4 linked regions of the Schizosaccharomyces pombe genome follow. The gene in region 3 interacts genetically with the main gene of each other region. Each region holds a gene or a part of one and is shown on either strand. Other genes may lie near its edges.

Evidence for each region.
Region 1: mutations in mcl1 (region 3) and raf2 together harm fitness more than expected from each alone (negative genetic interaction), as found in Schizosaccharomyces pombe (2 studies listed by BioGRID).
Region 2: mutations in mcl1 (region 3) and rad3 are lethal when combined (synthetic lethality), as found in Schizosaccharomyces pombe (3 studies listed by BioGRID, with this or other methods).
Region 4: mutations in mcl1 (region 3) and mik1 impair growth when combined (synthetic growth defect), as found in Schizosaccharomyces pombe (2 studies listed by BioGRID, with this or other methods).

Annotation. Positions count from the first base shown.
Region 1 is NC_003421.2:498,142-505,541, reverse strand, and holds raf2 (CLRC ubiquitin ligase complex subunit Raf2), read right to left. Parts: upstream 4,778-7,400; 5' UTR 4,684-4,777; coding exon 2,773-4,683; 3' UTR 2,662-2,772; downstream 1-2,661. Other genes in the region: erv29 (cargo receptor protein), read left to right, coding at 1,017-1,925; kcs1 (inositol polyphosphate kinase), read left to right, coding at 5,776-7,400. UniProt on the Schizosaccharomyces pombe protein: Component of the Clr4 methyltransferase complex (ClrC) which contributes to the establishment of heterochromatin by specifically methylating histone H3 to form H3K9me.
Region 2 is NC_003423.3:899,835-907,712, reverse strand, and holds the start of rad3 (ATR checkpoint kinase Rad3), read right to left. Parts: upstream 3,530-7,878; 5' UTR 3,349-3,529; coding exon 1-3,348. Other genes in the region: peptide-methionine (R)-S-oxide reductase Mxr2, read left to right, coding at 4,141-4,557; SPOM_SPBC216.03 (uncharacterized protein), read right to left, coding at 5,028-5,771; dynein-anchoring factor Num1, read right to left, coding at 6,732-7,878. UniProt on the Schizosaccharomyces pombe protein: Serine/threonine kinase which activates checkpoint signaling upon genotoxic stresses. Involved in G2 arrest following DNA damage where it phosphorylates chk1.
Region 3 is NC_003424.3:3,281,157-3,289,119, forward strand, and holds mcl1 (DNA polymerase alpha accessory factor Mcl1), read right to left. Parts: upstream 4,597-7,963; 5' UTR 4,590-4,596; coding exon 4,398-4,589; exon of another isoform or gene 4,353-4,397; coding exon 4,201-4,352; exon of another isoform or gene 4,143-4,200; coding exon 2,039-4,142; 3' UTR 1,848-2,038; downstream 1-1,847. Other genes in the region: SPOM_SPAC652.01 (BC10 family protein ), read left to right, coding at 252-358, 428-647; SPOM_SPAPB1E7.01C (uncharacterized protein), read right to left, coding at 1,058-1,549; DNA-directed RNA polymerase III complex subunit Rpc82, read left to right, coding at 5,446-5,511, 5,591-7,300; cts2 (chitinase), read right to left, coding at 7,645-7,963. UniProt on the Schizosaccharomyces pombe protein: Has a role in regulating DNA replication complexes. Acts as a regulator of post DNA replication initiation. Associates with chromatin during G1 and S phases of mitosis. Required for the transcriptional repression of the outer repeats of the centromeric region.
Region 4 is NC_003423.3:218,217-225,969, forward strand, and holds mik1 (M phase inhibitor protein kinase Mik1), read left to right. Parts: upstream 1-3,081; 5' UTR 3,082-3,482; coding exon 3,483-4,691; exon of another isoform or gene 4,692-4,759; coding exon 4,760-5,296; 3' UTR 5,297-5,901; downstream 5,902-7,753. Other genes in the region: DNA replication factor A subunit Ssb1, read right to left, coding at 1,146-2,934, 3,004-3,044; msi2 (cleavage factor complex subunit), read left to right, coding at 6,113-6,159, 6,208-6,648, 6,721-6,761, 7,083-7,246, 7,292-7,753. UniProt on the Schizosaccharomyces pombe protein: Protein kinase that acts both on serines and on tyrosines. It acts as a negative regulator of entry into mitosis (G2 to M transition). Phosphorylates and inhibits cdc2.

The sequences.
Region 1 (7,400 bases), on a different chromosome or scaffold from region 3:
ATGCCTTAAAATAAAAATAAAAGTGCACTTATAATTGTTATGATTATTTAATAATACAATATCCCGCCAAAAAAAATAAGAAAAAAATAAAAATAAAATAAATTTAATAATAAGCTAATATTCACATTGATGTTGCTATAAAGGATTTACCAAAATTTCCACGGATAATAAGTTTGTTTTCGCCGTCAAATGACTATATTGAGATTTGAACTTAACTCACGTATTTGACCTATATACGATACCCTTCTTTAAAATTTTGTTTGTATAAAGTTTTTACAAATGTTCATTACAACGACTCTTGCTAAGAAAGTAATAGCTTTTGTAATGTCAAGTGTAAATATCACACACATAAAACTTAACTTCCACTAAATTCATTTAATTATGACACTAACTTGAAAGTATTCATTTGTGATATGGAAATGGGGCCTTTTATTAATTTATTTTTGCTTTTCATCAATAAATGTGATCAATTAACGACTCATGTTAATTTTCAAACTACATCCGAACGCCATCCAAATATAGTTTCTAAAATTTAAACCTATATTTTCAAGCTTTAAAAATCATTACAAAGCAGCTTTCATAAGTCTTTGGCTCTCCTAAATATCCCATTCTTTAACTCACTGCAAGAGGTAATAATTTCTTAGACTACACTAAACCAATTTGCGCTTAATAGCGAGCCTTAAAATAAAAAATCAGTGTAGAGGTTGAAGAATATTCAGGAATCTCAATAAAAATAAAAAAAATAAGGATCATAGAATTATTTAAATTATCCCAAATTCATCAAATTGTAATGCTGTCCTTTTAGGAAATTCTGGTTTGCCCTGGATGACGACTGCATGCCAACAGGCCATAAGGAGCAACAAAGGAAGAGACAAACTTGCGCTTCTCCATACAAGAGGTTGAATTGAGGAAACTGGAAGTTGGCCTTATCAAGTTATTTCTAAGAGATATTTGAAGTTTAAGGATTAAATATTTATAGACACCAAAAAAACCCCGAATTAATACGAGCTGAAAAGATGACTTCACGTTCGCCGTTTTCGACAATCCCGCTTTCTATGAACCAGGATTCATATCAAACAAGGACTACTGTGGGTATCAGAAAAAAGACATTTTCAGAGCGAGCATGTCAGTTTATGGAGCAAGCTGAAACGTTCATGGCACCATTTACTCCGTATATGCCGCTCTTGGGTCGATTCCTAATTGTCGCTACTTATTTCGAAGACGCTATTCGGATCGTTACTCAATGGCCTGAACAAGTATCTTATATGCGGGACTACCGCAGATTTCGTTTTGGGACTGCTCCGTTGCTGCTGTTTGTTTGTGTTGTACTGATGTTGGTTGGTTCGACATTGGTCGTGTTTAAAAAGCGTCAGGCATATGCCATCGGCTCTCTTTTGTTTGTTACACTTTTACAAGCGTTTGCATATGGGCTCATCACCAGTGGTGAAATGTTCTTTCGTAACATGAGCGTGATCGGTGGATTATGCCTTGTTGCCAGTGACACCTTTATTCATCGTCGTATCAATAGATTTGCAGGTTTACCGGCCGTCTCCGAACACAATAAACGTACTTATTTCCAACTAGCTGGGCGTGTTCTTTTGATCTTTATGTTTTTGGGTCTTTTGGCTAAGGAAGGAAGTGGGATTTCTTGGACTCGAATTCTAGTTCATATTTTGTCTGTTACAGCCTGTGCCATGGTGGTCATTGGTTTTAAGGCTAAATTCTTCGCTGCAGTCCTCGTTCTTATTCTATCTGTTGCCAATTTCATTATCAACAGCTTCTGGTCGGTTCCTCGTGAAAGTCCCTATCGTGACTTTTATCGTTACGACTTTTTCCAAACCTTGTCTATTGTTGGTGGTCTCCTATATCTCGTCAACACTGGACCGGGCAAGTTTTCCGTTGATGAAAAGAAAAAGATTTATTAAGCCAAAATACTGCGTGTTTCTTAAAAAAAAATGAAAATGTTGTTTTATTTTTTAATTTTTTTATGATTTGATTTAATTTGTCAACCTTGTCCTTTTATATCATAAAATCCTTATTTTACAGGTACTTTTCTTTCACAGGATCTTGCCTATTTGTACATTCCTTTGTTTACTTTGGCTCCATTCTTGTATTAGAGTTGAAATTACACTTTCTTCTATCTATGAGTGGGATCGAATTTAGGATATTATCCTATCACATTAATTTTTTTATGTCAAAGAAGTGAGCCTCATCATACTCATGTTTGCTCCTACTGATTCATGATTAGATGATTCTATTTACGTTTACAAAACCAAAAAGATGGGTAATCGTCGCGTATGGTCCGTATTTTCTGGAACAATTTTTTAATAGTATTGCTCTTTTCTAAAATAAATACTCGTTTTTTGCTCGTTTTCCTTACGCATGAACATTTAGTAGTTCTTGGCGTTTACATTCCTCTGTTTTTATTTTATCGCTTGGTCTCAGTTATTATCAAAAATGGGTTCTGGTATTTTGAACGGCCATTAACTTTACAATTGTAAAGGGTTGGTGTTTGATTTTGTTTGATCGTCCTATATTACATTTGACAAATAATTCAGCTATTTGTACACTTTAATAGGCACATTTATAAGCGTATCAAATTGTTGTTACAAAATGTGTTTTTGAAATTGTTTATGAACACATGATATTTGTAAAGTAAAGTGTATTTGACATTAGCCATGTAAAATTGTAATCCTTTATAAACATACTATATATTAACTTTAATGCAGTGTGTCTTTTGTTAATTACTAGTAAAAATCATCATATCTATCATTAATTTATGTTGTACATTATGTGTTCAAGTTTATTTGTAAACGATCGGACACTGTTCGAAGGAGTTTTAAATATAAACTTGGAATCTACATGTCCTAAAAGATGATCGTAAATGACCTGAGAAGGTTTATACGGGTTGTCACAAACAGCAAAATACAAACAATTTTGTACTGGACATGACCAAATACCAGTCTGTAAATCCGGACTAACTTTTAAAGCCTCAACTTTCTCCAAGTTATATGAATATAATCCAGTGTCTTGTTTAAAATCTGTTTCCTTTTTGGATAAGCAGGAAGATGCGGAAGCTAAATCGAGCAGTTTTGTAGGTCTATACGGTAAAGTCGACCTCGTTGACCTATTACAAGGGAATAAATTTGTTCGATCCAGCCATACCTGATCGCATAAATTTGGAGTTGATGAATATACTTTGGGATATTTGTTGCGAAGTAATTTCAATAATTCATCATAGAAGCTGAATGCAGGCCAATAACCAAAAGAAATAGAAAAAAGTTTAACAAAGTCAGGAAGAACTGTAACAAAATTTTTTTCAAAAATTTCCTCCGTAAAACTGAAAGCGACAGCTGAGTGATTAATGTATTGTTCATATGTATAATCTGAGCCAGAAAGGCCTGATCCAATATCAAATAACAAGAAATGAAATAATATCTTGGCCGCCAATTGAGCATTTGAGAAATCTAGTTTCATGCATATTAGAGTCCTCAAGAGATGTAGACTTGTTTTTTCTCCATTGTTACAATGCATGAATAAATAATCATAACAATATCCACGGAATTGAGATCGTGCTTGTTGAACAGAAGATCTAAAACCAATTGCGTGCTTAATATCATTAAAAAGCTTAGTACCTCTCCACGTGAAAGCAGTATGCATAATTTGCAAAAGGGTTTCGCCGTGGGAAGAAAGTTTATTCAAAGCTTCCAAATTTGTTATTTGTAGCTGTTGAGCAATAACGCTGCAAACTTCTTGAAGGCTAATATAACGTTGATGCTTCGGAGAGGTTGAAACTTGTATTCTTTTCCATAATGATATCGATTCAATATTTGGATCAACAATCCTTAAACCGGAAAGCCAAATATCATTCAAAGGAAACCGTAATGGAGAAGTTCTTTTTACAACTCCTAGTTGTGGTGTTGCTGTGGGAGAGGAAATGCTAAACGGTTGCTCGGGTAAATTAATTAAAGTAAGAGCTTGGTTTAAAGAGCTTTTCATAGTAGTATTATTGTCCGATGGATTGTTTGACGATAACTTTGATTTCTTTCGCTCTTGACGAGCATTGTAAATGTTTTTATTAATTTGTAAAATCAGATGTTCGTATGAAGATCGAATTCTTATAAAAAAAGGTGATTCAGACCATACATGTAATGAAGAAGTCGCAACCATTTGGGTTAACAGAAAGCGAATATGTTTTTGCACTAAGAGAATTGCTTGAAAACAAGAAGGAAGCTCTAGCTTTTCCTTTAAAACTTCGATATAATTATCGTAATCTTCTAACGTACCAGATATCATATCATCTTTGAATTTTGTCTTAATAAGGTAAAACAATCGATTCTTCTCGCTGATCTGTTCGTAAATGGCTTTATACTCAGAAGAAGGAGACAAAATTCCGTATCTTCTTTGAGGTGTAACGATCCATATGCTCATAGTTTCTTTCTCAGGAACGTCTTTTAGATTGTATGTCCAAACAGGCGATATTTTTATCGAGTATCCCAGAACAATGCTCTCATCAAACAATGGTTCTTGCTCATCCTTTTCAGAAGATAAAATTCCTGTTAATGAATAAGGGCCATATTCTAGAACGTCCTCTAAATCTACTAATTCCCCTGCTTTATTTGTAACGCAAACTTGTTCAATCAAATCAGTTTTCCGCTTTTTTTCAGCACGTACGGGCGGCATCGCTAGCTTTTTCCTTTTCCCCAAAAACAATACTCTTCGAAGTAATATTGCCTATTACTATAGACGGCATATTTTTGAGGTAAACATTGGTGTTAAATTTCTGATCTCTGCTTCTGAAATTTAAGAGAAGGGTATCCATTGTACTGCACAAATATATAATTAACGTCTAGTGCGTTATACTTACGATACGTTAACAATCACTATACCTATAATTGTGTTTTACCAACATTTCTTTCGGCCGTGAACATACGTTGCTTCTAAAGTACTTATTCTTTAATTAGAAAAATATTGATGAAGTTTGATTTGTACTCCTCAGCTGATTGTAAACTATTTTAGTGCACATATAATACTATACGATATCTCTTAATATTTTGATATATTTATTATTGTATAGAAAACAGAATTTTATTTAACATTATTTTTTATATTAGGAAAACCCACCGCAGTTCTAAAGTATCATTAAGTGTTTTAATGATTGCATAGCTGACACAATGCGTAATTTAATGACAGATACGGTGTATTATTATGTGGATCTTTAGAGTAGAATAATTGTAAGCTACGCAGTTTGGTATCTGATTTAAGGATACGTAGAACTGCGGTGAGTTTTCCTTGTGATCTATTATATTACAATACGCAGGTTGTATAAGTAGCAACTGAGTATAGGTATTGTATTAACTGGGTTATAATGTTACCTATCACTAATATAGCTCATAACTGAACCTCGTTCCTCAGTTCAGTTGTAACGCTATTTATAATATTTCTAAATAGTTGTTATCAACGGGTATCTACGTATATAGACGGATAGTTACCCGTGATTATCAATAAACGGATCTTAGCTAGTATTCCAACATATGACATATAGTGATACGCAACGTAGTGTATCATAGCGTAGTGTAGTATTGCTGACAATAATGAATTTAAGTAGTTTCACTATACGCCTCATTATACTGTAAGCTAGAGCAAAGTAAGAAACTTGCCAAGAACCAAAGCGGGTCTCTGCGAAAGGTAAACTAATAAAAATCGGACAAATTGGAGGAATTGAAGGGGAATTAAGGAAAAATATTAATTTAATAGAGATAAACTTATGAATTTATGCAGAACGCACCAAAGTGTTACCTGCCGAATTCACGTAAAGGCAGAGACGTGAATTTTCATGATCGAGGTCCTGAAACGTTAAAATGCTTGTACGATGAATCAGAAGATAACAATAATTTTACTATGCATTCTGAATCCATAGGTCCTAAGTCATTAGACAGTTTATCGCCTAGAAGGCTAAGTAACTATTCATCTGCTGTAGACCCTCGAACTACGAGCTTGGAAGATGTCCCTCGCTTAATTTTAACAAGAAGTAATTCACAAGAACAAACCCCTTTGAGAACACACACCCCTGTTGAATATATGAGTGATTCAATTCACAAGAGTCTAGCTGACTTGCAATTAGGTGGTTCCTCTTATTCAGTTGCTGAATCACCAGTACCGGTGCTGCAGTCTTCAGCCGTTTCTGAAGCTGATGATATGGCAAGTGCTCATTCTGCTCATCCGTCTCGAAAGGCAAGCAGGTCATTACGTCTCTTTGAGTCTTCTACCTCCAATAACTTAGAAACCGGTAACAGTACTAATACTGCTTTGCACAACGTGTCGAGTCCTCTTGAATCTGTTTCTGAAAGGCTCTCCAAATCTGGATCACCAAGTGTTGGTGCTCAGCATGATTTAGATGAAGTTATTTCCGAAAAAGATACATCACTAAGTCGAAGATCATCTCGTGGTCGGAGCTCAGCTCCTAAACGAAGAAAAGATAGTGGTAGTTCTAAAACCACAGCCACCTACATACCACATAATCCTTCTAAAAAGTCATCTCAACACCTCCCTTTACTACCTGATGCTTCGTTTGAGCTTGAAAGGTCGGTATCCCGTTCTTATCAAAGTCCTGCATCCACCCCGCGATCATCTGTATCATCTGTCTCATCATCTCCTCCTGAAGACCATCCTTTTTTCCATTGGAATGTTGATTATCCGGTTACTGTACGATTGGAACCCTTCAAACATCAAGTCGGTGGACATACGGCTTTCTTCCGGTTTTCTAAAAGAGCCGTTTGCAAACCACTTACAAGAAATGAAAATACGTTTTATGAAACTATTGAAGCTTGCCATCCAGAATTGCTTCCCTTTATCCCAAAGTATATTGGTGTTTTAAATGTGACTCATACTATTACTAAAACAGAAGAAAACGATTCTACTACGGAATATGTCAATACAGAATCATCGTCTAAAACACCTGCCCCCCATAAACACACATTTAACAGCTGTTATCAGAAAAAAGACTATGGATACATTCCAGAGGTTAGTGTTGAGCAAAACCGTCATATTTTTCCTGAATGGATGCTTCCCGACAAAAGATCTCATTCTTATGGAAGCCCCAAATCTTTACACCATAAATCATCTTCAGCCGGAGAACGGCCAGTATCTCCTACTTTCGTGGCTGATATACCGCCCAAAACTCCATGGGGAACCACATTAATTAACAGAAAACTGCGAGAGGAAGTTCTACGAGAAGTTTTTGCTCCCAAGCATGCAAGACGTCGACTTGGAACTCGTTTCCATTCAAGGAGTTCCCATCGACCTTCTGTTTTTCGTGATAATTCGGTTGCTTTTGGACAATTGGATAATGGAAACACATCTAGCCGAGCTCGTGATAAGGATGCAGATCCTAACAAAAG
Region 2 (7,878 bases), on a different chromosome or scaffold from region 3:
AGCCTTGGCGCGGCTGGGATCTATCGCACCCAATTCACCAAGATTTTTTGCAGCAAGATATGATATTTGCATATTTGTTGAAGCATATTTTACACAACAATCTAAAAGGCATCTTAGTAATTGGTCCAGAACTTCGTTGGATATGTCCAAATTTAGTGTGTCATGTAACTCGTCCACCTTGGCTTGAAAAAAAAGTTCTAATTTTTGTAAACCTAAATAACAAACTGGCTCATTTTCGTTAGTTAAACACTTAATTATACTTTGAAGCTCAGAGTAAAAATCTTCATTTTGAAGCGAACAGAATATTTCTTTAGCCTTAAGGCTAAAGCACGCTGAATCCAGACTGGTGGGGATAGCCCACTTTAATCCTTGTAGGCACTTGTGTGTGTCAGAAGAAATAAAATCAAATATTTGAATTACTAGCTCTGCTTCTTGTGGTTCTAAATAAGGGAATAAAGGAGGTAAAATTACAAGACTTAAACCAGCAATTGAACTATACTCGGGCTCCTTGGTTGCTAATATCAAACTGAACCAAGCTTTGATTGCATAAAACCTTAAGTGCTCATTTTGAAAAGCACTTTGTAAATTAGAAAGTATCTGTGGTAATCCAAGTTTGACTGCACCTCCACATAAAGATAACATTTTTTCAATGCCGACAATTGTCTTAATCTTTTCATTAATTGAAGTCTTTCCTTTCAGGTCGTTAAGGATATTAGAAAATTCTGCTAAGATACCCAAAATGTGATTATTAAAAAAATCATAAAGTAATTCCTTATTGCTCAAGTCTTCGTCATTAACCACTTGAGAGACAATCATTGCTACCTTTCTTAAAGCATTTTCAATTTTTTCATGAGGAACATCATTCTGATAAAGCTGTAACAACTCCACAGTAATAGAAATAGGATCAGAGCGTAACAAAGACGTTAAATCAACTTTTTCAAAATCAGAAGTGGCCAGTGAAAGAAGAAGCATCACACTCTCTTCCAAATTAGGATGATCCGTAGTAAGTAGCGAAGCAAGGATTTTATGCATATTGGTAAGGCACAAAGTAGCAACATCACTTTGTGAAAGTTCAGCTATACGTACTATTAACGCTTTGTTTTTAGTAAGTACAAGGAATGGTAAAGTGTACGCCTGTGTTCGAATAAGAAAATCGCCCTCGGAAATATTCATAAGCTGAGCAAATAAACTGGCTATGTTCGGTTTTTTACCCATACCTTGGACAATCGCAACGGACACTGTTGGCCAATATGGAGAAAGTAATTGCCAAACGGATATATGACGCGTCGAGGCAATTTGTTGCAGAGCGCTGAGACCAATGCCTTGATAAAATATTCCGCTGTTTATCACAGAAGATATAACTTCCAATAGTACAAAATGTAATTCTTCTTCTTCTACCACTCTAGATAAGGAGATCCAGGAAAGAATGACCGTTTCTAAAATAGCTGTATTTTCCACCGCCAATATTTTCAACGTATTAAAAATCAAGGCTTTACTTTCCTTGTGAAATTCAACTATATCAAGATTATTAGGTCCCTTAATGAAAATGGGCAAAACTTTTGCAGCAACAACACGTAAACATCTTGAAGTACTGGCTAATGCTTTCATAATAAATTCTCTTAAACTTAACATTGATTCTTTATTAAAGTTTGAGCAATGCTGGCTCCACCGAAAAAAGCCATCAAGCAACAATGATTGTTTAACAGAAGAGGAAATTATGTCGGGATTTTTTAGCAATGCACAAAACAATTCGTGATAAGGAATTTTAAAGAGCGACCGCTCATCAAATAGTAAACAAAATGAGTTACAAACTTCACAACCATGTACTTCATATGTGCGGAAAATACTATTTGTTTTCTCATTCACCTTTGCAACATGAGTACACAAAACTAAAGAGAAGTTCTTCAGGTCGTCCTCACTTATTGTAACATTATGAGAGCTATAATAATCTAACATTTCACGAAAGTGCTTTAAATTAGACGGTTCATCTAAGTTGTTGTTTATACACCATTTTGCAAATGTACATATGTTATGACCATTCTGGAAATCCACTTTAAGAATATTTGACAAGTCATTGTCCAAGGAAAGATAATGTAAAAGAAAAAGGTTTAATTCAGAGTTAGAAAACAACGTGTTTTCAAGTTTACCAGTACAAATTTCGCCAAAAGCACGGAGAGTTGTTTGATCTATTTCTGAACTTTGGTATCTGCACTTAAATAATATTATTGCCTTTTTGAGATCAGAATCTGGTTCAAGTTGCTCTAATACCTTGAAGTCAGAAAGTAAGGAAACCCCAAAAGGATAGAATAGACCAGCTACAGTTTTGGGTAAAACAAATAAAGAGAGAAAAAAAAGAGATATAGCAGTATTAGCAACTGTATAAGTTTTCTTCAATGATCCCAATGTTAAGTTGATGGAGGACATTAAAATATGTTTAGATTTTTCACAAATGGGAAGGCCATGATATATAAAATTCAAGGAAAAACAGCATAAAGTTTGGACTATACGTGAATGCAAATGTAGAAAGAGCTGTGAGTCTCCGATGCTGATTCGTTTTAATAAAATAACAAAATTAAAAAAACATGGCTTGATCCAAGTCCACGCTGTAAAGAGAGGTGGACTAGGAAAATTGGATTTCTTTAAATATGAGCATTGTGCAAAAAAATGGGCACTTTCAAAGAAAAATGTACAAGCCTCCTCTATATTAATGATAAGTAAATCAAATTTGTCCTCTCGATGGGTTGGATAATTTGGGGTGATACTCTGCAATGGTTGAGAATTGGGTGAGGGCATCTTGTAAGGGAATGTAGCATTAGTGATTTGGAGAACTATAGAAGAAACGTTTGTAATATAATATTTCCAATAACGCATAAACGAAGCATATAAGTCCCATAGGAATGACTTTTCACTGATTAGCTGATAAATTAGCTTATGAAACTCTTTTAATGAGTCAAATAACTTAATAAAACGAATATCAGCAAACAATGATATAGTCCTGGGTAAAATCCAATCCAAAAGAGTAACAGATGATTTAATCTCCCGCAAAACTGTCGGAGACCTTTTTAAGATTAGCATTAACGCTTGTAGAGAGAGATGGGCTTCTTTTAGCATCTTAGGAGAGATAAATTCAGATTTTGAATCATCATGTTTAAAAGCTAGAAGACCAACTTCAATTAAAACTTCAACAAGCTCGGAGGTCATAGATGGTAAAGAATTACTTCTACCTAACTCATGTTCTTTGTCTAATGCTAATACTTCTTTCAAAAGCTGTCCGAAAGCCTGTCTGTCATCTAAGCCTCTGGGTGAAAGATCGAGTGACCCAGCTTTCCTTTTTGCGTGTTGGCTCATACTATATCAAACCATTGATTCAATTCAAAAAAAGGCCTTTTTAAAACGCAACACGCGCGTTCAAAGTCTTGAGCATTTATAAAAGACGATTGTAAGTAATAAAATATCTCAATAGAATTATGCGAAAAGTGGCAATCGATTATCAAATCGATTTCCACTCACGAGGTAAAGGAAGATGCATGGTGCACTAAGTATCGAGCGATGCTAATTAACGAGCTTTTGTGATACTGAATTTTCAGAGGAAACTAACTTTTAAGTAATATTAGGCTGGATGTTTCTGATAATGATTGAATTTTTTGACTTTTGATGTGATTATAATGGTCAATAAACAAAAAAAAAAGTTATTGTTGAAAGGTAGTAGGAGAGAAAATAAGCTATTTTACGGCTAATAAAAGAAGAAATGAGTTTTAATTCAATTATTTCTTAAATAAATAATAAGAAAATATTGAAAAGATAAGTTATAATCGCACATCCTAGTTCTCATTGACTATAGCGTCAGTGGAGCGTCATACGCAGGGCATTGGTTCACTAGATCGCGGATTCTTCTGTGTTTTATACTTACTAAGCAGTTTTTACTTGGTACCTACCTATTCACATAAATAGTGGTCAAAAAGTCGTTTACTTACTTGAAAATTTTTGTAGTGCCAGTTGTGGTACATATCGTCTTGTGTTTTCATGAAAAAAGTGATTACTACACACTTTTCAATCTGTGGAAATACGAAGTTTACGAATCTTTTGAAACGTGCATATAACGTCTCCTACCCTGTCCAAAACGTCAAAAATAATACAAAGATGGGATTTCCATTGGAAAAAAGCGAAGATGAATGGAAAAAGGAGCTAGGTCCTGAGAAGTATCGAATTATGAGACAAAAGGGTACTGAGCACCCAGGTGCAGGACGATTCACTCATCAGTTCCCTAAACAGGGCGTTTTTGTTTGCGCTGCATGTAAAGAGCTTCTTTATAAAGCTAGCACAAAGTTTGAAAGCCATTGTGGATGGCCTGCGTTTTTCGATAATTTACCTGGAAAGGTGAAACGCATTGAAGACAACTCTTATGGAATGCATCGTGTAGAAGCAGTTTGTGCCAACTGTGGTGGTCATTTAGGCCATATTTTTAAAGGAGAAGGTTATTCTAATCCTACTGACGAACGCCATTGTATAAATTCGGCGAGTTTGGAATTCCATAATGAGGCAACAAATGACAATTGAACTAGATTATGCTTAATATTTCTGTATTTTCTTTATTAGATGTTAGCACCAGTTCGAATTGTTTGTGCTTGATGTACGGCTATTATTTTATTTAAAGTTGCTTGTTCACGTTTTGGTTAACTTCAATAAAATGCATTTACTTTTAACATTTTAAACTAATATATTTTGTTTTCAAAGAGTGTAGTAATCTCTAGGTCAGAAATTAGATTTACTAGCCGTATGTTATAACTAAGCTGCTTATGCCAAAGTTAATAAACGATAACACAATGTTTACACTACCTGATATGATCTTCCATTTATTTCAACTATAAAGGGTATAACTAAAGTATCCCTCACTTAAATATTTATTAATTTGCGTACGCTTCATAGGTCATTGAAAAATTTTCGTTCTTTTTTCAGAAGATTTTAAGAAAGGAGTAAAAGATGCGTGGACTACAATAATACGCGAAGGATCCGAAAATGTCATTACATTATACTGAATAAGTATAGGATGATTCTCCTTTTACGACGAATCCAGCAATGGCTTTATATATTGGCACATTTCCATCCGTCATGTCAACCACCAAATGGATGGACTGATTATCAAGAGCGAACAGTAGTACAGTACGCGCGACGTTTTCACGAGACATCATACAATTTATGGATATCTTACCCAATGCAACTTTTCCAGAACCCTTCTCGTCTGTCATACCAGAAGGACGTAAAATCGTCCAATCAATATCACTAGAGCGTCGCACTAATTCCTGATCCGCTAGGTACTTGTAATGGTAATAAGTTCCAATTGACTGATGTATTTTCTCACTTAGCTCTATATCAGCAGCCGTATAGTAAGGAGGAGGAGGTTGGCTCATATCACGATTATCTATCGCAGATATCATAATTAAGCGTCGAATACCAGCTATCCTCATAGCATCATAAACTTTTATAGCACCTTCATAATCGACGGCTCTTGTTCGTTCAGGGCCGCCTTTACCTCCTGCACCGGCTGCAAATATAACAACATCAGGGTGTATTTCAGCTAAAAACTGAGCAATATCATTAGGCGTCGCCTTCTCAAGTGAACAGACAGAAGTTCTGCCATGCACTTTTTCAATGTCTTCATTCTGAACATAATCACGTACAACATTGTAAACTATATGGCCAGCTTCTGTAGCAATTTTAGTAAAAAGCAAGGCCACCTTTCCATGCCCTCCAAAAACAACAAAAACAGTCATTTCTTACAAAATAAAAATGCTGACGATGATTTCTTTAACCGTTGGGAATCAAGAATCCAATATATCCTTCTCCCTTATTGAAAAAGGAACTTAATTAGCTGATCCTTTGAATAAAAGCAATGGCAATTGTTAAAATGAGTAATTTTTAGAATTGGAAATGCTGTGTATCTGTCAAACCCCTCTTAAAAAAAGAAAGGAATAAGGAAAATGAAAACAATCTACAAAATTGAATCGAAGAGACACACCACAGGGAATGAGCAAAAGCACGGTTTACCTAATTAGTAGTACCGAGTTAATTATGTGACGTTTTCAGTTTTTGTATGGTAAGCTCTAATAGTTTTAACATGATGTAACGATGCAGTAAAATAACTAGCCAGATATATTGTGCTCTTTTTAACTTTCGCTAAAAGTTCTTGGGGTAATACACGGAAAGTGCATCTGGGCACTAAAATCATTTAACAGGTTGCTTATTATTCATTCAGTAATTGAAAGTCGCCCAGATTTGTTATGTTTACCAGTAATAGCAATGTTTAATTCTTTGCACATAAAACTCCGTCAAGGTTAAGTCTGAATCTTCTTTTGCTTATACGGGATAATTTGTTTTGATAAAACTAACATTATCGATGTTACCTTTAAACGTTAGTCGTCTTTTGTTTGCTATTTAAATGTCTCGTATGATAAATTGATTGATTAAAAATGAATTGTATAGAAAGAGCAATTTTTTCGACAAAATAGGAAAGTATATCATCCTCATTAGTGCATGTCGAATTGCAATAAAGCTTGATCGTATAAACCTCATTTACAAAACTGATTAAGACATTTGATTCTTAGTTGTTTACAGTGGTTTAATATCTTTCTATTTGATGCCGCTTAATAAAAACAATTGGTATAACTTTAAAAGTTGTTAGGGAATATTGAAACAGTTTACTTTAAAACTTATAAGCAATGACTGAAACATGCTTAAATGCCGGGCTTAGTATCAAAGATAGCCTTATGATTTATTTGTTTGATAGCTTGAACCCAGATATTGTGAATTTTCTTGCTTTTCGCTTTTAAGACGATGGGCTTATCAGTTGTCTGCATCACAATAACTTCATTATGTAAATTGGCGTTCTTTAAGGCATCTGGGGCTTTTATAATAGTCATTCCCTTAATTTTCACAGACTTGACTTGATTTTTCCTTCCTTTTTCAATAAATGGATTTGTTTTAGACCAGCACAGCATTTCACAATGCGGGTTAATCCAAAAATAGCGCCAATGACTCTTTTTAAACATTTTGAAACTCTCACTTCTCGGGTACTTCATCATTTCGTTTCCCATCATGACATGTTTCATCAATTTGTTCACAGAATTTGCATTACAAGTTGAAGAAGATAAACCTGATAGATTCAAATTATCTCTGCATTTTTTCGTATTTGTTTTGCTTTTGAGATTATTGCGAGGTAAGGTGAATACGTCTGACACCGTCGACAAGGAAATAGAAATCGTCGTAGCCGTACTTCTTGCTTTCAATTGACGTGCTGATTGCGAGGAATCATGCCGAGTTTTTTCAACTTCAGCTGTTGGATAAGTACGAGTATTCTTAGGTGCAGACGGATAAGTTGACGCCTCCCAATTATTATGTTTTGTAAAGTCTTTGAAAAGCATTGAGGAAGTTCCGTTTGAATGTCTTGAAGACATATTAATGTCCAAAGTAACATCAGAAGTTTCCAATGATTGACGTGAAGCAATTGAACGATTCTTAAACATCGAGGATTGAGCAATTTTTTCCCATTGTTCCCAGTCATGCTCTTGATATGGGATCTTTCGAGGAAAAACTGCCTTGCCTTGCCTCATACAATTCATAGATCCATTGGAACATAGCTTTTTCGAATTCCTAACATTACTGTGGGAAATATCCGTAGATAATCTAAAATTCTTAAATTCAGCTATTTCTGGATTACTATAGTGGCGCAACCTCCGACGAGGAATCGAGCAGTCAATAATAGCGCTAGTTAATTTTCTTTTCAACCTCGTGGTAGCAACATTTGAAAGCGCATCGGTCCTTAGAATGACACTATTAGCTGATGTGTCATTTACTTCATTTTTTATTAAGGAAAAAACAGAG
Region 3 (7,963 bases):
GTCGAAAGAGTTTTTATATGCTTCTGAAGTTGTAAACAATACTGAACATTGCAATACCAAAGGATCGCTGGATCTACAACTTTTATCTAATTAACGATATTTAGCGCTTACGAAATCTTTGAATTCCGAGTTATCGCTTCGGTTTCACAAAACGGCATATCGTCTTAATGGATTGTTACGTGACCAAATGGCGTTAATAGTGTAAAATTACATCCTTCAAAAACTTGTTGCTTTACCAAACTTGGTACAAAATGCTATGTTTACGATATTTTATTCCAATGCTTTTAGTAGCTAATGCTGCTCCATACTTCTTCTATCCGATCTTTATGCTGTCCATGATTGCTCGGAAATATCCATGGTAAGTTCAACAACCAGTTTGATAAACAAGCCGTCCATTCCATACGAGATTTTGACTAACAGGCTTCAGTCCATATTGCATGATTATACTGGGATTGTTGATTAATACACGCACTCTGTGGAGTGATTCAACCTTTTTTTCATTCAATCGAAATATTTTCGACACAAAAGCATTCCCTACGGAATTAAAAGAAGCCGGCTACAGGTTGGTTCGACTTTCATGGATTCGGTGGCTAGCGGGTAAGGAAAGCATTCACATTCCTTGGTTAGATGCCACTATTAAATTATAATAGTGCAGTCAGTCTTTCACTACAAAATTGAATCGCTTGAGCTTGATTCATAAAAAATAGGTGTGCCTTTTCATATTACCAACTGTCCCTATCTAAAATTTATTTACTTAACATACCGACTAAACAAAAAAAAAACCCTCCTGATTGAAAAGAGGTAAACACGGCACCCAAATTAAGACCCATCCAATGTAAACACTAAATGTGATTAAGGATCGTAAATTTTTTCACAGAAAAATAAATTTCGATTCAACTTCATGCACGTCAACCAATAGCAATGCCATAAATACTCCAGTGCTGCTTATTTATGGGTTCATAGGATGTCCATTTCCTTGAGGCTAATCTCTTGATCAAAATGAATCAGAAGTCAAACCTTTTATGCAAATATTTTATGTATGTCTTTTCTTTCAAGTTCACCTTTTTTTCTTCCCAAGTTTTTTATAAATATCAAAGCCAGAACTTTGGGCGTTAGCTCTTTTCGATCGGCTAGTAATGCGAGCCTTTGAATCATCATCATCATCATCAGTATCAGACTGTTGCTCGTTCAATTCATCGCCTACTTTATTCAATTTTCGCTTTAAATTGTCGTGGTTTTTGCCGCCTTCAATTTTTTCAGCTTCCTTCTTCTTCTGCAACTGTCTTTCAATCTTCTTCTTTAATGCCGGTGGCAGGCTTTTCAATTTCTCATTTTTGGAAGTAACCCAGCTGTTTTCTGACTGGTCTTTTCTACTAGCACCCAACCCTAACCGTGGCGGCCTAGCTTGTAACGGTGGATCGTCATTTTTTTCATCGCTACTGACAGATGTATTTTCGTTTCCCAACCACGAATTGATTAAGTTTTTTGTGATGCTTATGGATGTTTGATATTTATTCAATAACACATCCGCACTCACTTTTTGTTCCATGCTAAAATTGTGTTTTCGTTTGCAGCTTGGCACTTTACAAAGTTGTACTGCACTTAGTGTCTGCAACTTTACGAACTGTAACGCACCCTAAGGCACTGAGCTTTGCAGTTTCTACATTAGATTTTATTTCATTTCAGAAAGGAAAAGAATACAAATTCCTTTGTGACTCTTTGTCATTTTAAAAAATGTTTCCACCTTTTCTTATGAATCAATTTTTTGTACCCCTGTGCAATTTCTAAATAGACTCGAAATATATGCCGAATATACTGACATATAAACATAGAGGTTATATGGTAAACAAAATGAAATGTGTTTATTAAATACAAAAATGAGAAAAAAATCAAAGTGCTAGATGCTTATATAAATGAATTTAGAAAGGAGCAAGATCGTGACAAAACTTCTGCATAGCTTTGCTTCAAACCCCTTTTGATTAGCTCAAGCTACTAATATGCAAAAAATAATGTTACATAAAAATTAAGACGTGAGGGTTTAGACGTTAGATAGTAGATTACCAATTTTTTCAGCAACATTTGTAAGGGAATGGTGGAGCGCAATCTTTTGAGCAGCAGCAATACTTGTTGTCCTTCTCAAAGTTTTTGTCAATTCATAGACACGTTCGATTCTTTCCTCGAGACAAGCCTTTTGAATAAGTTGCAACAAGGCTTTGTCAATGTTAGCTTCTAGTCTAGCAATGCTTATTTTTTCGTCCTCCGTAACATCGCCATCTCCTATGCTATCTTCCAATAAAGTCAAAAATAGTTTATTACGGAGTTGTAGTTCTTCTAAAACAGGAACAGATGTAGAAGCATCCGGATTGTTCGTATTACAAGGAATACGAAAGTCAAATTCTGTAAACATCGGACGAGGGAAATAGGGATATCGAGAGGCTCCTTTTAGCAATATACAGTGAAACTGATTATCGGCAACAGTTACAGGCCAATAAGACTCTTGCCGTGATTTGCGACGCTCCAATTCATTTGTATCTAAAACAGGGATCCACTTGGCTTGTCCTGGTATGCGCCAATGCATTAATACCAACAATACCCCAGTTGAATCGTAGATGTAAGGATCTCCAACATCCGAAAAGAAAACACTCTCTAACGTTCCTTGGGGTGGTAATGCAACCCCATCACCAGTTTGCAACATTTCATCACGAGAAATGTCTTCAATGGAATAAACAAGACGAGAATTTCCATCAGAGCTCAAACCATCGTTGGCGATGGTTATAATCGTATCCTGAAAAGATGAACAAGCTACAAATGGCAAGTGTTTACTCCTGTGAATGCTAATTGGAAAGCCTTGTCTTGAGAATACGCGAACATATCCAGCACTCGTACATACCAGTACAACGCTTGAGCTTAATGAAATTGTCACAGGACTTTCATTCTCCATGGGTAAAGCCATTGCCCATTCAGATTTACGCGACCAATCAACATGTGCTTTATAATAAATAACACCAGGTGAACTTTCCGTTGCAGGCGAAGCATACAAAGCACCTTCATGATCTAAGCATGCCATTTCAAATTTTTGGTCATCAACAAAGTGATATTTTCTATGAGTAGTTTCATCATGAAATTCAACCGTTATAGTGTTGTGTTCTGCATCTTGCTGTACAGTCCAGATAAACCCTACCAAGTTCAAACATAGATATCTTCTATTACCCTGCCATGGTGTACTTCCAGTATGAACGGGTTTATGTATTGAGGCTTGCAGTAAACGTCTTTTACTAGAACCATTCTCTATTGTTGTAGTTCTGTCGATCAACGCCTTCTGCTTTCTTTTCTTTGCAAGGTTTAAGTCGTTTTCATCAACCATATAACTATCACCATCTAGGTCCAAAGATGAATCCAATCCATCATGATTGATAAACTCATTTTCCTCGTTGGCAGAGTTCCCATCCAAATCATTGACGTTCTGACTTTGCTCATCGTCAGAACCAAAAAGATCATCAAGCTCTTTGGAAGTACGGTTTTTACTTTTTGACGAAGTCAAAGGCTTCGTAGGATCATTTTCTTCCTTCAATATTGATTTAGGAATGACATCCGGACATGAATACAAAATTCCCTGATTTGTAGTAAATGATAACACGTTTTCAAATGGCTGCCAGGCGAGTGCCACCACTGTACTATAGGGGAGCTCAACGACTACTTCATGACTTTGTGTATCCCAAATTAAAATGCCTCCTTTTTTAAATGAAGCAGCTATGTACATTCCATTACTGGACCAGGAGATATCTGTTACACCAGAATGATTCTCTTTTGGAAGAAGTTTGTACAATGGAAGCCAGTCATCAGGGGAAATAACTGATACAAAATGGTCGGTACTCGCAACTGCAAATGTCCCGTTTTTAGGATGCCAAGCCGCCTTTGAGCAAATTTCTGATTCTGCCTCTAAAGAGGCAATAGTGTTTGTTAAGAACTTGATGAGTTCACGAGTTTGGGTGTCATAAAAATACAAAATTCCATTGCAACTGGAAACTGCTAAAAAATTTCCGTTCGGGCTATAAGTTACATGTTTATTCGAAGCCTTAGCTGGACGAAGAGAGAAAATTTGTGAAGAATCAGTGGACGAAACCACTTTCACTGCTGTTTCACTATATTTGTTAGGCTGAAAACGACCAAGTAGAGCATTATACACTAAAAAAAACTTACTCACTAGCTATGGCAATCCAATTTCCATCTACTGAATATGCCACATCGCGAATAGGAAGAGTAGTACGCGCCAGCAATGTATGCTCGGTAGGAGAATCGATGGGATATACGCAGACAGTTGCATCTTCTGAACAAGTACAAAAATAATTTTCCTATATAAAAGTCATTAGCTCCAAACTTTTTTGAGGACCACTTACAGCAACTGCAATTCCTGTTATAGGATCTTGATGATTATCAATGGAGTCGGGTTCCTCATCAGAACCAACCTGAAATTTTCGGATTACTTGATTAGAACCGACCGTAAGAAGAAATTTCCCATCACGAGTATACGCTAGACGCGTCAGTCCATCTGTATGGGCATATCTAGGAACTAGCCTATTCCCTGCCATAATAGCTAGAGGAAGAGTTTGTATATGAGATTGGGACTAGTATGGCAATAGCGATACTTTCGTTAGCTAGTTACGCTATTTAATGTAAACAAACATTTAAATAAAAAATCTACCACGAAAGCACTATTGAGAAATTGCAAATGTTTGTCTACAATTTATTTTCATATGCAAGTACGATTGAAAATATGCAATCCATGCTTTTAATCATCTGCTAACAATTAGAAATTAATACTAAAGTAACTTATATGTGAGACTATAGGAATAATTTAACTTTAATCATTTCAGAGCTTTTTTTAATTACTCTGAAGTTGTATTTGATGTTCCATTAGAGCAGTTCTGTTAAAAAGTTTTGAAATGTCTGCTATAAATGTTCAAACAGCCGCACAGCAATATTCTAAATGGAGGAAAAATATGCAATTAGCTATTGTCTTTTAGTATTTTAATTAATGCTTACCATGACAAGCTATAAAACAGAATCTGCAGATAAGTCATGCTTGATTAAACCACAAAAAATCAACGACATGGAAATGGAATTGAGAAACCTAGTGGAGCCTCTCACAGGAAAATTAAAAAGAAGTTAAATAAATTAATCATACAATTAGATTTCGATCATTCATTTAATACTCGCAGTAATTATATGTATGTATTTTTTCAAAAAGTAATATGAAAATCGTTTTTGCACATCGTTAAAGTTTTATTCTGTATTAGAGTGATACACTATAAATGTTAACGCTGCTTTAACGACGCACAAAATACAGGCTATTGGCATACTCTAGGTTGTGAAATCTTTGCTTTTTTGTAGTTACGTCTGCCAAACAATTTACCATTCCAAGCAAGATTGGTAATCTGCTTGATCATGTCACAGTATGCTGTAGAACTGTGTGAGATTCTCGTAGAGGAATTTTTCGGTGATTGTTGCTCGGTAAGGATTCAATTGTATTTCTAAATCTGAAGTTGAGGTTGCAAAGTCTTTTGTATTAACCAATTTATTGTCAATTTAGGCAGTAGCTAGTGCACTTTTGAGGCATGGTCGTTTAACGATTCCCATGCTACAAAAACGGACTTCGTTGCCAGGACCAAAAATTCGACAAGCACTTGTCAGTTTAATGCAGCATCATATGGTTTTGTACGTTACGGTCATTGAAAATGTACGTGAAGTCACATATTATGAGACCCAATGGAAGGAAATTTATAACATTCTTCGCAAAGGTAAAGATGTATATTTGATATCTCAAAAATTAAACCAGGAGGCTGCCTCTGTGGTAAAATATCTTAGTACCCAAGGACGTGCACGTGTACTCGAAGTATTCAATGCTTTCGATAAAAAGGTTGATGGGAGTGATGAAGAAAGCCGTATGATGCAGAAAAATCTAACGGAATTGATTTACCAAAAGTTTTTGCTAGTAGTGCAACCGAGACATTTAATACCAGTAGGAGATCAGGAAATGCAACTCCGGATCAAGCACTTAGATCGCAGAAAGTCAGAAAACGTGTCTGAAATAAAAAAAAATAGAGAGGTTGATGATTCTGTCGCCTTGGAAATGTTAGAGCTTCGTGCAGCAGATATGTCAGAACTACAAGGACTTACCAGGAAGCCAAAGGAATCAATACCACATCCAACAAAAAGAAGGAAACGTGCTGTTGGCTCTGCTCCGTCTGTATCAACGGATTTGAATAATATATTAGACGATGATAATAGCATCCTTGTACCTGATCTATCCGCGCATGTTCGCATAAATTCAGGAAAACTTTCTGTCCTCTCAAAAAATGCCAGGCTTACCCATTGGGTGGAAAGAAGAATTGGTAAATCAACTTCGCTTGTCTATTCTCACGTTCTTTCTATGTTGGAACCCAGATTATTTAGTATTTCCAATCAATCTCCGGTCTTTACACTCACGACAATGGAGCTTACGAGAAACTTTCCGAATGATATCGACGTTGAGAGTTCGATTGTCGATAAACAGTATAGCGTAAATTCTGCCTCTAACGAATTGCGTGTCATGGAAAAGTTGAATGAACTAGATGAACTTGCTGAGGAAGATAATTATGAAGAAAGTGTTGATGAAAACGCAAATCGCAAGAGCAAGGTGCTGGCTCAACACCTGGAGCTTTTGGCAGATTGCTCATTAAAATTTATTTCAAAAATAGGCAATCGAGGAATGGGTGAATGGGCGGTCAATTTTACCCATTTAACCGACATGCTGCGAGCCATAGAATATGAAAATTTTATAGAACAAAAATTTGGGGAAAGAGCTATTCGTTTACTGCGTATCATAAAAGATAAGGGAAAAATTGAGGAAAAGCAGTTGGCGAATATTGCTCTCCTTCGTCAAAGAGATTTACGAACCGTTCTTCAAGCTATGGCAGAAATCGGAGCCTTAGAGTTACAAGAGGTTCCGCGTAGTTCCGACAGGGCCCCTTCCAAGACTTTTTTTCTTTGGTTTCACCGTCCTGATCGGGCGTACTCTCTCCTTTTGGATGAACTTTATCATGTAATTGCCAGACTATATATGCGATTACGAGATGCACGAGCTCAGAGAGCTCAACTCATTGAGAAGGCAGAACGAATAGATATTAAAGGCAACGAGGAACAATATCTACAAAAGTTTGAGCAAGCTGAGCTAAAAAAGTTGTATAGTTACGAGGAAAAACTGCTTTTACAAGCTTCTCGGTTAGATGATATGGTATTAGTATTTAGGGATAATTTATAAAAATGGTTTCTTCGGCACTTCTTTTGCTTCACCTAACTAAACACATTTTTACTTATGTAAATAATCATCGATGTAAAATTTACTTTTCTTAAATAGATCGTTGGCTTTATTATTTCTACCTGCTTGTTTCAAAATTTTTATTCAATTGTCTATAATGCATTAAATATAAAGTATGCTAGTTCTTAAAAATAAACGACTAAATATTGTAATTGATTTAACGAAATAAATCATATGAATGAGCATCAAACGGAAAGAAAGGTGAGATAAATTAAATACAAAGATAACAAATATATGTGCAATGATATAGACCAGCTATTAACAATGCGCATGTAGACTTTTTACCTTCAAGCGGCAGTGGTTGTTGCACTAGTATGGATTGTCTTCCATGTTCCAGCTCCATTAAGTGCTGGATTGGCAGTTGCTTTTATAGGGAGACTGCGCTTTTTATAGGCGTTCGCAGATGGCATAACAACCGAAAATCCGTCAATAGTTGTCCAGGCAAATCCTGCAGGGACTGAATAGGACGAAAGGGCTGAGACATACCAAAGTCCAGCTGTATCAACGTTTGCATTGAAATCATTGCTTGGGGTATCAGTTGTGACACTAGAGTCTGCCGTTGTAGCTGCAGAAGAACTTGATGAAGCGGTAGCGGAAGAAGTAACT
Region 4 (7,753 bases), on a different chromosome or scaffold from region 3:
ATTTGTAGTTAAGTAGACAGTCTAACTTTGTATGTTTCCGTTTTGGATTACAATAATTGAATAATAATGACGATAGTTTGCTTGCTATAAAATGTCACAATGGCTTATTAACAAAATAGTGTATCGTCAGGCTAAAGGAAACCGTTGGCGGTTAGGTGCTAATGAAATGATTAATATTAGCGGATAACGGAATTAATATACTATCAAAAAACAGACGATCTTTGAAATTATAAAGATTTCTATCATAATGATAACAATAATTTTACAAGAAAGATACTTATAATCTACGTTTTTTGGAGATACGATAAGACTGATCTGATCTACAAAAGATCATGGCTTCAGAACTTTTTTCGAACATATCCGTTACTCTATCATTTCTTTAGCATCCCCATTGACTTTACAAAAACTAAAACCAGCGCTTAATCTTTTTTAAATCTCTCGTTGTCAAGGTTTTACTGAAGGTTGTTGCGAGACGGATTAAATAGTTTACTCCATTCCATTTAGAATGTGGGGAGCTAATTAAGGATCTTTAAAGATAAATTTGTACGATTTAATCAAAGAAATGTTGTATTTTAAGATTTTGTATGTAATTAACAAAATTTGTCGCAAAACAGTCTTTTTGCTCAGTTATATTATTATTACTCAATTAAAGAATGTAACCTGCTGTTATTGGTATCTAAATCGCTTCCTTATTAAAGTTGTTTATTTATAAAGTAAATTTAAAAAAATCATGGTTCATATTCCTGTTAAAATAGGATTGCATTTTCGTAGACTCGTATTTACTTCAAAACAATCTGGTAATTTATTTCTTCAACAGTTTCAATTCTAAAACAATTGATAAGTTTACTGTATATTTTACTTCATATTAAAAGATATCATTGCATTCTTTTAGCGGTGATTTCAATCAAGCCATTATAGCGTAAATTACCCATCAAGGAACTTTAATATGTAAGCAACAGAACTAATTACTCCAAAAATTCAGATCATATATAATTACTTTAAATCTAGTTAAATGTAAGTGAAGTACCAAATCATAAGGAAAGGAGTCACTTTGTAATCAATGTATGCAAAATCATAAATCGTAGTTTTCGCGATTTAAGCCAAAAACTCAATTACTCGACCAGCGAGACGTAAAACACAATGTTTTATTGAGCAGACTCAATGAAATTTATCAATCTTTTAGACTCTTCCTTCCAGTCCATTTGATTAATTGACATCACTGTATAGCGTACTCGCATTTCACCTTTAAAATTGTCTTGCTTAGCACGACATTGAAAGATATATGGCATATAGCAAGCTTCTGCCATACAATTCATAAAGGCATTTTCGTCGTTTTCTTGTAGATCATTCAATTCGTCTGCCGTTTTATGCATGATTAATTTACCGACGTCGTCAAAGACGTTGAGCCAGAGTTGTCCCGTATGATCACCTACAGCAATAGTTATAATATAACGGTATTGAGGAGCATCATATTCTTTATTACATTTCTCACATCGCCAGGAGCCACCTTGATCAAAAACCTTTTTGTTGCAATCAGCAGCAGGGCAAGCAGGATATGACACGTTTTTCTTTCGAATGTAAACAATGGTGCCCTTTAAGCTAAAATAATCGGGTGTTTCTGACATTCCCAGATGTTCGGCTTGAACCTCAGCAATATTTTTACGTTCAGCACTCCTTCCAGTAGTAGATAAAGTAGATGAAATTACGCTATGTTTGGCAAATTCCTGCCCTCTACCCTGTCCATCATACCAACCTTTTAACAAATGAGATTCCTGGATATCTGGATCTACCGACATGGTGCTGCTAGTTAACATTGACAAAGAGCGTCCTTGAAAGTCATTAACTTTAACTCCTTTGAAAGCGAGAATACTTTCTTCAGAAACAGAGAATTCAATAGCTGTCTTTCCCCAAAGCGTAACACGCATTTCATATCCTGTTTGGTCAACGATAGTGATATCACGCTTGTCAAATCCACGAGAAGTTGCACGACTGGTAATTTGTTGAACTGGTCCAACGTTTTGGAGTACACCAATTACATCGATAACAGCATCTTTGGCAACATCGCCGACTTCTTGTAGAGAAACAAAACTAAACTTCGCAACGGGGACGGCAGTTTGATCCTCAGCTTTCCTTATTTCAGTATCACGTTCAAACATCAGCTCATACTCGTTTTGAACATTGGTATATTGTTTTTTTGCAATGTTCACACGACAACGAGATATATAATAAACCGAACCTTCCTGTAAGATATCATAAAAAGCATCAACCTGGTCATTAAAGCCTGTTGCACGAATCTCCCCACTTTCATCGAGTAAATTTACGCTAAAAAGCTTTCCTTCACCTCGTTGATTATGCCAATGTTTAACCTCAGATTTGTTAGTAACACGGGCACGAATAGTCCATTTATTCTGATATGGAGAGAGACCTTCAATTGGGTAGATTATTGTGCTAAGGCTATTCGGCGCTGCTGGCTTCTTCATCATGGGAGGTGGAGCCGGTGCTGTAGCTGCAGCATTGTTTCCATAAAATGAGTTAGTGCTTGTCGAAATACCTGTTCGTGGTGCGCTAGCATTGTTTTGCTCATTTTGCTGCTGCCGTAAAGCGTCAACTGTTTCTAAACCAGCGGGATTACCAATTTTATCCATTACGCCAAGTTCAGTTAAAACATTCAAACCAAGAACAATCAAAATTTTTCTTTCTTTCATAACGTTTACAGTGAATTGGGTAAGCTGTACGAACGCTCCTTTTTGAAGTTTATTTTCGGCAACCAAATGGTTCAGCTGGGTGCTTAACATAGATTGCGCATAATTGATTGAATCGGAAAGGACAACACGATATCTTTTAGGAGCACCAGAAGTTGGATTTGAGTTTAGCTCCTTCACGGTTAAGACTTGGAGAATTGGATTAGGAGGAAAAGACGAAGCATCGGATGTACTAAAGAAACGTGTTAACATCCCAATTTGTCGAAATCTTTTGAGTATATAATTTGGACAGTTAACTTACTTGATTATACGAAGTGCACCCACGGATAATCGCTCAGCCATGTTTGCAAATTCTTTTTTTTTTAATTAGTGGTTGGTTTAAGGCAAAAGAACGAAGCCGCGTCGCGTTATCCCAAATGAAAAACGCGAACGCGTCATGACGCGTCGTAACACATTTTAATATTACGCGTAACTTTAAGATGTGTTGTTTGTGTACGTGCATGTCAACAATGGTTGTTTACTTTCAAAGTTATCCTTTGCGCACAACACATTGCTATAGAAAAGCCCTTAAAAGCTGAAAAGAATAGTAGTGTTATTTAATTCTCTACAAAAGGAAATAAATCCTTTGTGATTTTCCTTTTGTTGGAAGAGTTGAACTACATTATCATCTGCATATTATTTATTATTTAGGAAAACCGGAGATATCAAAGTGAAAACGGGATTTTAACAGCTAATAAGCAAAAAAATATAACTTTATTTACATTCAGGTTTCAGTTAAAGATGGATTCATCAACCACCATCCCAATTACTCCAACGCGAACACCATGTTTTTTTAATATATCCTCTTCGTTTAATGAGCATTCTCCATTAAATTTCTACGATGAACCCATTTACAATTTTTCGTCTGGCCATGAAGAAAATCAGAGCCATAAGTCATCAAAACTGACATTCTTTAAACCTTCCAATACAAAAAGAAGTCCACATACCCCTATGCAAAATAATGCAAAAGCCATCAGATTATCCACTACAGTTCGCCACGGAATTTTTAAGAATTCAGATCTCGATGGGTGTAGCAAACCATTTGCATTTTCGAGCGGCTTGAAGTTATCCAAAAAAATTGTGGATGCTTCAACGCCAATTGATTTAAAACGAAAAAGGGCGGTGACTTCTTTAAGCACAGGACTGTTATCAAAACGTGAAAAGTGGTCATTATGGGAAGGGAATTTGACTAATCCAAGAAGTGAACAACCTCATACACCTTGTAAAAAGGGAACGAAAATAAAATTAAAACCACCTCAATCTCCGCTGTCACCCACTACCTCTCTTTTAGCTCGCAAATGTAAACATATCGACCTAGATACTTTTAGTCGGTTGGATCATCCAAACTCTGACAGCTCGGATGAAACGTTTGAAATGGAAGAACTTCCTTCTTTGTCTTATGGTTCAGAGGACTTGTTGGAATTTTGCGAAACGCCTTGCAAGAGTCAGCCTATTTTCCTTTCAAGTTCCCACGTTAATAACTGGGATGAGAAAGACGTACCTTCTTCATTAAGTTGGACACCTACCAGTCCAATTTTTTTAAACATCAACAGCGCAGATGATTACGAAGAAGAGGAAGATTGGACTAGTGATCTTCGAATTCGATTCCAACAAGTTAAGCCGATACACGAGAGTGATTTTTCATTTGTATATCATGTGTCTTCGATCAACCCACCTACTGAAACGGTTTACGTTGTAAAAATGTTAAAAAAAAATGCAGCCAAGTTTACAGGAAAAGAGCGTCACTTACAGGAAGTATCTATTTTGCAACGCTTGCAAGCATGTCCATTTGTAGTAAATCTAGTGAACGTTTGGAGCTACAATGATAATATATTTTTGCAATTAGATTATTGTGAAAACGGAGACCTAAGTTTATTTTTAAGCGAATTGGGATTATTGCAGGTCATGGATCCTTTTCGCGTGTGGAAAATGTTGTTTCAACTAACTCAAGTAAGTTATTACATATTTAAAAGTCGCGTTCCACAGACACGTCATTTGAATTCACTAACCGAACATAGGCATTAAATTTCATTCATCTTTTAGAATTTGTTCATTTAGACGTTAAGCCTTCCAACGTTCTTATAACTCGTGATGGTAACTTAAAGTTGGGAGACTTCGGACTAGCAACTAGTTTACCGGTCTCCTCGATGGTTGATCTCGAAGGCGACAGAGTCTATATAGCTCCCGAAATATTAGCTTCGCATAATTATGGGAAACCAGCCGATGTATATTCACTAGGCCTCAGTATGATTGAAGCCGCAACAAATGTAGTCCTGCCAGAAAATGGTGTTGAATGGCAACGACTAAGGTCTGGAGATTACTCAAATTTGCCAAATCTTAAAGACCTCCTTTTGTCGAAAGAAAAGGTTCAAATAAACAAGGTGAGGTGTGCTGAATCATTACAGTGTTTGCTTCAGCGTATGACGCATCCGTACGTGGATTGTCGACCCACAACACAAGACTTGTTAGCAATGCCGGAAATGATATTCATCTCTGAGCATTCTCAAAAAGCTGCAATTATCTACGAAGACCATAACAGTTGGTTAGAAACTTGAGGGATTCTGTGTGCGAATATTTTAGCCCCACAATGAGGGAATGAATTTTGCGTTCTTCCATGGTTCATTAATTTGTATTTTATACCAATATTTTTATATTTTTAAATTTTAATGTTTCTTTTGTTCGTCTGTTCGAGTGACCTTGTGTTTACCCCAATTCAATTGGTGCAAAAAATTACCCCGGGTCGATCTTTTTTTAATACCCCCTGGCAATCCATCTTTTTGGTCATTTTTAAAAGAACATCTTTTGACGGCTAAACGTCAATCGTCTAAGTCTTTTGATCAACTGCTGGGTATTTTACGTTTAAAAATCCACCTAATGTCGCATTTTGTGTTTTAGTGAAAAAACTTGAGCGTTTTTTTTATGCAGGGAATTGCTGATATTGTGATGGATAATTATTTTAAGCTTCCTAGTCTTTCGCAGAAGTGCTGTTTTAAGGAACTCAAAATATGGAAGTGCCTTGTCTTTGTATACGTATTCCGCCTGATCTATCGTTACAATTGCTGAATTATGAAGCCTTCCGGTATAGCTGTAAGATTATATAATTATGTAAAAATTTTCATATTTAGTTATTGAGTTACAAGCAATAATATCAACAAATCATTTATATTCAAAAGAACAGAGCAAAACTTGTAAATTTGGATCGACTCCTTTTTTTGTCTTTGTCGTTTCTTTTTCCATTATTCTTAACAGTGTTCACTGAATTGTGCAGGATTTAGCGTATTACGCTCCGCTTTGGTAGAATGTATCACGTACAACCCCATACTGTTTCCATCTTTTAACCACCATTCATATCTTATTTTAAATAATTCACGATGGGCGGCTCTGATTTTGAAGATGACGAGCTTTTTAAGGATCTATAGTAAGTTTTCGAAATGTATTTTTATAGTACTAATTATCGATTAATTAGTGGTGAGGAAAATGAAAAAAAAGTGGAGTCAGCTTCAGGAAATCAAGAAACGTCTAATGTGACGCCGACAAAAGAAAACGAGGGCTATGAAGAACTCGAAAAATCGGGAGAAGCGGGTGCTGAACGTACAAAAGAAAACCCTTTTCGAGAAGAACCCGGAGCTGATTTTGACCGTTCGGGATCGGACCAACAATACAGTGCTGAAGCGGAAGCCAATCAAGAAGACGATTTAAATGAAACGTCTCAGCAAGCGCCTGATCCTTCTTCGTATGATATTAGAGGACAAGCCTTGAGTTCCGCAACTTGGGACAATGCCGAGGACGGTGAAAATTCTAAAAATGATAACTATAATGAAAATCAGTCGGCCCTGACCGGTTCCGGTGCTATGGAATCAAATGAAGATAATGCAGAGGAAACTAGTCCCTTTAATCGAGAGGACGGGTATGTTAATTGTACTATATCCTGTAGCTTCTTAGGAAATTCCAGTAGTTCAATTCTAACCAGATATTTTAGTAAAATGTTTATTGGTGGTTTAAATTGGGAGACTACCGATGGTATGTTAATTTTCCGCCATCTTAAACTATCTTTGCATGCATAAATTTTGTCGATCAGAAATTTGTTAGCTGGAAGTGTAGTTTTTGATTTGTTTGTTTTGCCTATTGTACCTTAACATTATGTGTTTGGGACACCATCGACCAGAACGGTATACGCTTGAGGAAAAATGGTCTTGTTTTAGATATAAATTTTTTCAGTAAATTACGACGTCCATTTTCCGTTAAGCTTTATTCTTTCTGTTGTCAGGTGCTAAGTACATATATGCTATTTAGACTATTAGGAGTAAATTTATTGGTTTAATGCTAATGTTTGATTTACAGATTCCCTTCGTGATTATTTCGAGCAGTTCGGAGAGGTCCTCGATTGTACGGTTATGCGTGATAGTACTACTGGCCGTTCTAGGGGATTTGGCTTTCTAACTTTTAAAAATCCCAAGTGTGTTAATGAGGTGATGTCTAAAGAACATCATCTGGATGGTAAAATTGTATGTTAAAAAACTTTCGAATAGGAGATACTAATAAATAATCAGATCGATCCTAAACGTGCTATACCCCGTGAAGAACAGGAAAAAACTGCAAAGATGTTTGTTGGAGGAGTTCCTGGCGACTGTACAGAGGAAGAGTTTCGCAATTTTTTCAACCAATTTGGCCGCGTTCTTGATGCCACTTTGATGATGGATAAAGATACGGGACGGCCTCGTGGGTTTGGATTTGTAACCTACGAAAATGAGTCCGCCGTAGAAGCAACAATGTCTCAGCCGTATATTACTATACATGGCAAGCCTGTAGAGGTGAAGCGAGCTACACCAAAAGCTAGCCTTCGAGACAGTCATGACAGGCATCAGCATGGCTACCATGGTAATGCTAATCCTTACTATGCTCAAAACATGAACATGTATGGAGGAATGACGCCGGCTATGATGGCTCAGTATTATCGACAGATGCAGCAGTATATGGAAGCGATGCGTAATATGCCTGCTGCTGCTGGCGCA